Caenorhabditis elegans: one gene and its partner. The protein of the gene in region 1 interacts with the protein of each later gene in a pairwise test. Each region holds a gene or a part of one and is shown on either strand. Other genes may lie near its edges. The genes, in order: pgl-1 and ife-1.

The links.
Region 2: the proteins of pgl-1 (region 1) and ife-1 interact in a two-hybrid assay, tested with the Caenorhabditis elegans proteins (3 studies listed by BioGRID).

The regions. Positions count from the first base shown.
Region 1 is NC_003282.8:6,973,872-6,979,161, reverse strand, and holds pgl-1 (Guanyl-specific ribonuclease pgl-1), read left to right. Parts: upstream 1-1,843; coding exon 1,844-1,951; intron 1,952-2,018; coding exon 2,019-2,150; intron 2,151-2,197; coding exon 2,198-2,344; intron 2,345-2,388; coding exon 2,389-2,747; intron 2,748-2,795; coding exon 2,796-3,136; intron 3,137-3,182; coding exon 3,183-3,325; intron 3,326-3,371; coding exon 3,372-3,543; intron 3,544-3,587; coding exon 3,588-4,111; intron 4,112-4,155; coding exon 4,156-4,545; downstream 4,546-5,290. Other genes in the region: prkl-1 (LIM zinc-binding domain-containing protein), read left to right, coding at 21-134; him-3 (HORMA domain-containing protein), read right to left, coding at 626-912, 960-1,132, 1,179-1,392, 1,435-1,636. UniProt on the Caenorhabditis elegans protein: Guanyl-specific endoribonuclease which cleaves the phosphodiester bond in single-stranded RNA between the 3'-guanylic residue and the 5'-OH residue of adjacent nucleotide, resulting in the formation of a corresponding 2',3'-cyclic phosphate intermediate.
Region 2 is NC_003281.10:13,341,789-13,345,365, forward strand, and holds ife-1 (eIF-4F 25 kDa subunit), read left to right. Parts: upstream 1-1,628; 5' UTR 1,629-1,819; coding exon 1,820-1,874; exon of another isoform or gene 1,875-1,924; intron 1,925-2,035; coding exon 2,036-2,501; intron 2,502-2,547; coding exon 2,548-2,722; 3' UTR 2,723-2,830; downstream 2,831-3,577. Other genes in the region: nud-1 (Nuclear migration protein nudC), read left to right, coding at 1-751; dro-1 (Protein Dr1), read left to right, coding at 896-1,312, 1,395-1,532; acaa-2 (3-ketoacyl-CoA thiolase, mitochondrial), read left to right, coding at 3,171-3,183, 3,254-3,406, 3,457-3,577. UniProt on the Caenorhabditis elegans protein: Recognizes and binds the 7-methylguanosine-containing mRNA cap during an early step in the initiation of protein synthesis and facilitates ribosome binding by inducing the unwinding of the mRNAs secondary structures.

The DNA of each region.
Region 1 (5,290 bases):
TTCAATCATAAAAAATTCAGGTTCCTGCAAAGTCTTCCAGTCGTAAATCAAAGAAAAATGAACCAATGATGATGTCGGGAGGCGGTGTTCGAATGGCAAAGAAAAAGAAAAGTTCCAGATGTACAGTATCTTGATATACTTGTCCAAACATTTACTGAATTCCTGAAAAGCCCATGTGATTCTTTTATACTTCTTCTTCAATTTTAAGCCTTTTCCTTCGTTTTTTTCTGCACGGTGAATTGTCCCATTTTATTAATTCAATATTGAACCTATTTTTAACACCCAGCCAACAGTGCAAGTAATGTAAAACTTATTTCAAATGAATATTCACTTCTCATTTGTCCGAATTCCAACACTGCTTCAATGAAATAAATTTATCTGAACTGGATTTGAATGTTTGGTCCATTTCAAAATAATTTATTACGCTACTTTTTTCTAAATCTACGAAACACCAGACTTACAGTGAAAGAAAAATAACTCAATCAAACAGATGAAACTATACGTGAAGAAGATAGATTGATATCACACAAGAGAAGACAAAAGCACGACAATCAATGAAATTATAAAAACAATGGCTAAAAATATAAAACAAGAGAAACATTGCACATGAGTGAAAACTTTTCGACTAGTCCTTATTCTTCTTCGTAATGCCCTGACTGAGACCGTAAGGGGAATCTCTGGAAATTCGTCCCTTCCTTTTCGATTGGTTTGCCATGATTGACATATTTGGATTGAGTGTGGTCGTTTTATCCAGATCGAAGTCTTGCTTCAAGTATTGTGAAGCAGCAAGCATTTGAATTTTGTGATGACCGCCACACACGATTCCAATAGATGCTTTCCTAATATCCTGATTCAGCGTATAGAACATAGGACTCAGCAGATAGCCTTCGGGTGTATAGTCTTTTGGAGCTTCTTAAAATAACAGTTAGAAATAGACTAAAGCTGTGAATGTAACCTACTTTCAGTGTACGAAACACGGAAACTCGCGTCGGACCCTTGAGGAAGCGGCTCCATTTTCTTGATACACCGGTGAAGTTTCTTGATTGTGCTTGCAAACATTTGTTTCGTGTTGTCGGTATCAACGAATTTCGCCTGTAACAGTTCTTGACTGCTTTCGTTCGTGTCGATTCCGCTGAAAACAATTGAAAACGAATAATTGAATAAGACCAGCAGCTTACTTATTTAGAGATACGAAAATCTCTCCTTCATCTCCATAAGCAAACCTGAACGCAAACACTTCATTAATGTCTTCCTCGTTTGGCTTCTTGTAGAACACGATTGCGAACTCTCGCAAATAGCCTTGTTGAATCGCATCTCTCAATCCGTCGAATGTTGAAGACACACGCTTTGCGGCAGGAACACTGCTCTGGAATGCGGTGACCAACAGTTTATCTGTATAAAAATATTTGTGATACATTGTAAAATAAGCCATACCTATTGTTCGAGTTTTGAAGCATTTTTCGTCCAAAATGCCACGGCGATCGAGAATGAAGGCCGAAGCACATTTTATGTAGCGAAGCGCAAACATTTCAGAATTTTTTTCAATCTCTAGATCAACGGGAAACGTGGCCTTCCACTGGCTGGCTATAGGAATTTCAGACTCGCGGTGCTCAACAATCTGCTCTTTCGTCGCCATCGCAAACCTACAATTACTGAAATATCATCGTGAAACAAATTAAAATGTTTAAAAAATAATATCTATAAAATCTATAACAAGTTAAACATATTATTTAATTATAAAACCCCGCATTGATTAAACATATTTTGATTTGAAAAAAAAAACTAGAAAATAGGTAAAATAAATCTGGAAATAGTTCAGAAACTTAGAAATTATTAAAGGCGCATGGAAGTTTCAGATCTACGGGTCTCGAAACGAACAACTCGACGCGAACGCGGAAGTTGCAATTTCGATCTCGTCCCAATTTTCTTTTCCGTTTTCTTACTTTTTTGGGTAAATTTTGCGTTTTTTTGAATTCTAATCTCGAAAAATTTTTTAAAAATTTAAATATTTATTTCAGTTTCATCCATTTCACATGGAGGCTAACAAGCGAGAAATTGTGGATTTCGGTGGGCTGAGATCCTACTTTTTCCCAAATTTGGCCCACTACATCACGAAGAATGACGAAGAACTGTTCAACAATACATCTCAGGTTGGACTATAATATTTAAAGACCGATTTTCTATTATTCAATTTCAGGCCAATAAGTTGGCTGCTTTCGTGTTGGGAGCTTCCAAAGACGCTCCTGGAGACGAAGACATTTTGGAGATGATCTTGCCGAACGACGCTAACGCTGCCGTTATTGCTGCTGGCATGGACGTTTGTCTTCTTCTCGGAGATAAATTTGTAAGTGTGAATTAAACTTATTGTAATCAATTATAACGTTTTAGCGTCCGAAATTTGATGCTGCTGCTGAGAAATTGTCAGGATTGGGACATGCTCATGATCTGGTTTCTGTCATCGATGACGACAAGAAGCTCGGAATGCTCGCCCGTAAGGCCAAGCTGAAGAAGACTGAAGACGCTAAGATTCTTCAAGCTCTTCTCAAAGTAATCGCAATCGATGATGCCGCCGAAAAGTTTGTTGAGCTCACGGAACTTGTCAGCCAACTGGATCTGGACTTTGATGTTTATGTCCTAACTAAAATCCTCGGACTTATCTCTGAGGAGACTAGCGACGAGGTCGACATTATCCGTGATAACGTCGTCAACGCATTTGATAGCTGCAAGCCGTTGTTGAAACAGTTGATGTAATTGTTGTCCTTTTCAAAATAATTCGATTTTTTTTTTCAATTTAGGTTGGATGGTCCGAAATCTGAACCTGCCGATCCATTCATTAGTCTCCTCATGGATCCACTCGAAGAGTCTGTTGGGAAAGTTGTGAACCATATCGCTCAACTTTTCGAGGAAGCGAGTAAAAATGAAGGAGACGAGTCACTTGTCTTGAGATCTCAACTCGGATATCAGCTCTTTTTCCTTATCGTTCGTTCACTTGCAGATGGAAAGCGCGAGGTTTCCAAGAAAATCCTCTCTGGGATTCCTACGAGTGTCAGAGCGGAAGTCTTTCCAGGATTGCAAAGAAGTGTCTACAAGAGTGCGGTGTTCCTCGGCAATCACATCATCCAAGTTCTTTTAGGATGTTAGTATTTTCGTCTTTGTTTACTTTTAAAATCTAAATATTTCAGCTAAGAAGTCTTTTGAGGATTGGGATGTTGTTGGAGTCGCGAAAGACTTGGAGAGCGCCTGGAAAAGACGAGCCATTGCGGAACTTATCAAGAAGTTCCAAGTCTCAATTCTAGAGCAATGCTTCGATAAGCCCGTTCCACTGGTGAGTTAATGATTCTATAAACATTACTTACATGACCGTTTTTCAGATTCCTCAGAGTCCACTAAACAATGATGCGGTGATCGATAATGTGAATAAAGCTCTACAGTTTGCACTGTGGCTTACAGAGTTTTACGGATCCGAGAATGAGACTGAAGCGCTGGGCGAGCTTCGTTTCTTGGATTCCACTTCAAAAAATCTTCTCGTCGATAGCTTCAAGAGTGAATATTCCTTTTTTTATCTCCTGTTAACTTTTTAATTTCAGAATTTGTTCAAGGAATCAACTCGAAGACTCATGTCACTCGAATTGTTGAATCACTGGAGAAGTGTTGTTTGTCCGATACACCAAGTGGCAGAAAGAGCAATGTGCAACCATCCACTTCCCAACAGCAGGATTCCGCCTACACGAAAGAGGAAATGACGACGGTTCACAACACATACAGCGTAAATACTAAAGCTCAAGTTCTCAACGGTCTCAGTGATACCAATTCTTCCGGGTTACTTGTCGATTCAAAGGATTCACTCAGTCTTCAGGAGATTTCTTGTGACGAAGTGGATTCTTCGACTTTGCTAAGCTCATCAAGAAACATTGGAGAAGGTGTTACTGTAAAAGCGGTCGATCCTGTCCCAGAAAAGGTTAACGATGCACAACAACAGCAAACAGTTAACGAGATCGAGATGGCTTCGGATGCCAATCAAGATACTTCTTCAAGTGCTTCGCCAGAAGTAGCGCCAAGTTTTTCCACCGATGGCTGGGATTCTCCAACGAAATCAGTAGCTCTGCCACCGGTATCGCGTTCATCGTTTCAGAATTATAAAAATATTTCTTTCAGGGCATGCAGCAGATAGATGAAGAGGAAACCACAGTTGCTGACAAAGATTCTACACCACAACCACAAGCTCGTGCTGAAACTGCATGGGGGTCAGGCGACGCTACTCCAATGCCTCTTCCTGCCCCGACTAATCAATACAAAGTCAGTGGATTTGGGGAAGCCAAAGTTGCAAAAGGATTCGGTCAATTTGCTCCCACCAGTTCAGCTTATGGAGGAGGAGGTGGTCGCGGAGGATATGGCGGTGGAGACCGTGGAGGCAGAGGTGGATACGGCGGAGATCGTGGAGGTAGAGGTGGATACGGCGGGGGAGACCGCGGAGGACGAGGTGGATACGGCGGAGATCGTGGACGTGGTGGTTACGGGGGTCGTGGTGGACGCGGAGGTTTCTAAACTCCAACTATTGAATGTTTAATTTGTTTTTTAAGTATACACTTCTTGTATACTTACACGTTTTACGCACATTATTTATTCTAACAATCTTGTTGTAAAATCCCTAAAACCTTGACTGTCATTTATTATTTATTCAACCTGTTTTTCCTTGTTCCCGGTAAATGTTTGAACTAGATTGTTGCAAGAAATTAACTCAATTAATTACACGTATATCTCTTTCTGCGGCTTGATGAGAAAAGTGATGTCTGAATCGACGGTGCCGAATGATTGGTGGATCATAAAATTAACAGGTGGCACTGCATGCATTCTTATACAATTTCAACTGATCTTATCATACATTTACGCATATTAGAGTTGTAAATCGTTATGAGACATCTGCATTCGAACATAACAAATACCGTATTTCTTCTATTAATATGGCTGCAATACTATTTTTCGATGGTCTTCCCGCTTGCAATACTAATAGGGAATGCAAGACTATTAGGGAGTGCAATACTAATTTTCAGAGCATTTTCTGACTTTGAGCTTACTAGTTTTTTCCTGAAAAAGCTCGAATCATATGTAAAAATTCAGAAAATTTGATTTTCATATAAGTTCAAAAACTTCGATCTCGTAGAAATGATGTGAAAACTGTTGCAAAATAGGCAAAAAAATGTTGAAATCCTAAAATTAGCGAGACGGGTTTGCAATACAAAAAAGTTAACGCAAGACTACTAGAGAGTGCAAGACTAATAGGGTGTGCAAT
Region 2 (3,577 bases), on another chromosome or scaffold:
GAAACGGAAGGAAGAGCAGGAGAGGAAGCTTGCTGAACGAAGAGCTGCACAAAAAGCTAAGGAAGAGGAAGAGTTCCGAAATGCGAAAGTCGTGGAAGTCACTGATGAGGAAGCGGCCGCGTTTGAAAAGGAACAGGCTAAAAATTCTGTTGAAAATCTTGAAAAATTCGTCGATAACGAAGGAGAAACATCGAAAGACGCTGAAGTCGAAGATGAGGACAGTAAGCTCATGAAACCAAATAGTGGAAATGGTGCGGATCTTGCCAAATATCAATGGACTCAAACACTCCAAGAACTCGAGGTGAAGATTCCAATTGCTGCTGGATTTGCTATCAAATCTCGTGACGTTGTCGTCAAAATAGAGAAGACTTCAGTATCTGTCGGCCTGAAGAATCAAGCTCCGATTGTCGATGGAAAGTTGCCTCACGCCATTAAAGTAGAAAATTGCAACTGGGTAATCGAAAACGGGAAAGCGATTGTCCTAACTCTCGAGAAGATCAATGATATGGAATGGTGGAATCGATTCCTTGATTCCGATCCTCCAATCAATACTAAGGAAGTGAAGCCAGAGAACTCGAAATTGAGCGACTTGGATGGAGAGACACGTGCCATGGTCGAAAAGATGATGTATGATCAGAGGCAGAAGGAGATGGGTCTTCCAACGTCTGATGAGAAGAAAAAGCATGATATGCTGCAACAGTTCATGAAACAGCATCCTGAAATGGACTTCAGCAATGCTAAAATTGGATAATTCTGTGAATTTTGTGAGATTTGTTCCGAAAATATTATATTTATATTCGCATAAATGTACTCAGTTTGATATTAATTTTATTTCATCTTTAAACTTTTAATAATGTATTTCTCATTCCTTATATCTCTTTTAGATCCCTTAAAAATGCAGTGCTTCAACACAATTTTCAGACTCTTCACAGATATGGATGAGGACAATGAAATCGGACTTCCACAGAAAGGTATCAACCAAATTATCAAAGAAGTTGTTCCTGAAATGCGAATCGCCAACGAGTCGAGAGATATGATCAATGCTTGCTGCGTTGAGTTCGTGAAGCATATTGCGAGAGAAGCACAACGAATTGCGAGCCAGGATCAGAGAAAAACAATATATCACGAACATGTTCAGAAGGCACTGCAGAATTTAGGATTCACACCAGATTATCTCGAGGCCGCCGACAGTGTTCTCGATGCCTGCAAGGTTGAAGCCGAGAAGAAGCTGCGAAGGAAGAACTCTCGTCTTGAAAAATGTGGTATTCCAGAGGAAAAATTGTACGAAATGCAACAAGAATTAATTCAGAAGGTAATTTTTTGAGGTTTTCAAAAATAATTTTGTTTTTATAAAACAAACACTCATTTCCTCAATGTTAATATTTATTTTACAGGCACGCCAACAAGAAATTGAGCAGCAGCTTGCTCACCAACAAGCACAAGCCGCGGCGGTAGCAGCCGCAAACGCACAAATGTTTGGAGGACCATCAGAGGGCTCTTTGGCTCCAACCGACGATGACTACGACAACTAGATTGTTTTTCTTCGCTTTTTTTTTCTACGGGTTCTCATTTTATTTCTTCATTTGTGTATTTACCTTGATTCATCATCGATAATTTCTAAATCTCTTTTTAAAATTGTTGTACTATATTCCACCATTTCCTATTTTCCCCGTGAATTTTTTTACTGACCCGCTCCATATTTCAATGGCACGTCATTTAGGGCACGATTAGTTGGCGTTTTCCCCAGTTGTTCTCGGCTTCTCAGATCAGTCCTGTTTTTGCCTTGCCAGTTGTCGAGGTGCGAAAATTTTAAGCGCAAATGTCAGATTCTGAAATAGCATTTGAGAAGCTGAAAATCTCTGGGGAGAAAGAAGGTGAGCCATTCCCTTTTTCATTATCGTTTGAGTACTATAAATTATTCACAAAAAAACTGTTTCTCGCCGTTTTGCATCACTTTTTTGGTTCCACGTGCCCATTTTTATTTGCATTCATTTATTCTCTCTGTTTACTGATTTTACTAATCGAGTTCTTCCAGGTATGACTGAAACGGAGCAAACGACGGCACCCATTTATCCGCTGAAGCGTAACTGGACGTGGTGGTATTTGAACGATGAGCGCAACAAGTCTTGGGAGGATCGTCTGAAGAAGGTGTACACCTTCAACACCGTCTCGGAGTTCTGGGCTCTCTACGATGCTATCCGTCCACCAAGTGGCCTCAACGCGTTGTGCGATTACAACGTTTTCCGTGACGATATTCAGCCGATGTGGGAGGTTCCGGAAAACTCGAACGGAGGACGCTGGCTCATCGTCATTGACAAGGGAAAGACTCCCGAAATGGTCGATGCTATTTGGCTGGAGATTCTCATGGCTTTGGTCGGCGAGCAATTCGGAAAGGACATGGAGTCGATTTGTGGGTTGGTGTGCAACGTCAGAGGAAAAGGATCGAAGATCAGCGTCTGGACTAAGGATTGCAACGATGATGAAACCAACATGAGGATTGGGTATGCATGTCTATTTTTAATTCTATCTTGAATTTTGGAATTTCAGAGTTGTGCTGAAGGAGAAGCTGATGGCCGCATCCAAGGACCACTCAAAGCCACTGTTCGATGTGATCCGCTACGAAGATCATGAGAGCTGCCAGAAGAAGACCAGCTCGGTTGTGAAAGCCAAGCTTTCATTGCACTCGTCCGATGCTCCAGTCGCCGAGAAATCCGCCGTCTAAAGCAGACCATTTTGTATCTGCTCTACTTGTTTTTTAATTACACCCGTTGCTTGGCTAGTATTTCACTCGTTGTTTTGTGATTGGTTTAATAAAATTGATGAAAATTAATTGTATTATATTGCCTTGTGGTTTCCAGGCCCAATTTTGTATCTTATTGTAGTGTAGAATGTAGCCTTTAGGTCAGAGAACAAGTAGCGGGAATGATGATAAAAAAGACACCGCGAAAGTCGGCCATTCTGCTTCTTTTTCGTCTCTGCGTCTCTTCTCTACCTATCTTATCGGCCCAACAAACAACCGAAAAACTTTATTTTTGTTCAAAAGCCCCTCTCAAAATAATTATGCAGTTTTCTAAATGCCCTTTTTTTTAGGTTTTTTCACCTCTTCCTAATAATTTGTTACTACTTATAAGAACGTTTTTATTTACAGAACCACACAAATACACTGCAAAATGGCAGGAAAATGTGAGTGGGGGTCAAAGTCCATGGTCGTTGTACTAATAAGTGATCAGTGATGTTTATATTATGTCTGCAGGTGTGTTCATCGTCGGTGCCAAGCGTACAGCATTCGGAACTTTTGGTGGAAAGCTGAAAGGATTGAGTGCAACTGATTTGGGAGTCGTCGCTTCTCAAGCAGCGCTGAAGCACGCTAATGTTGGAGCAGATGCCGTCGATCATGTCATCTTTGGTAGAAAGATTTTATTTTTAGAATGATTTAAAGAAAACCTCTAATTTCAGGAAACGTGGTTGCCAGCTCTCGTGATGGAATTTACCTGAGTCGTCACATTGGACTCAAATCTGGAGTTCCACAAAACGTCGGGGCCCTCACTGTCAACCGTCTCTGTGGTTCGGGATTCCA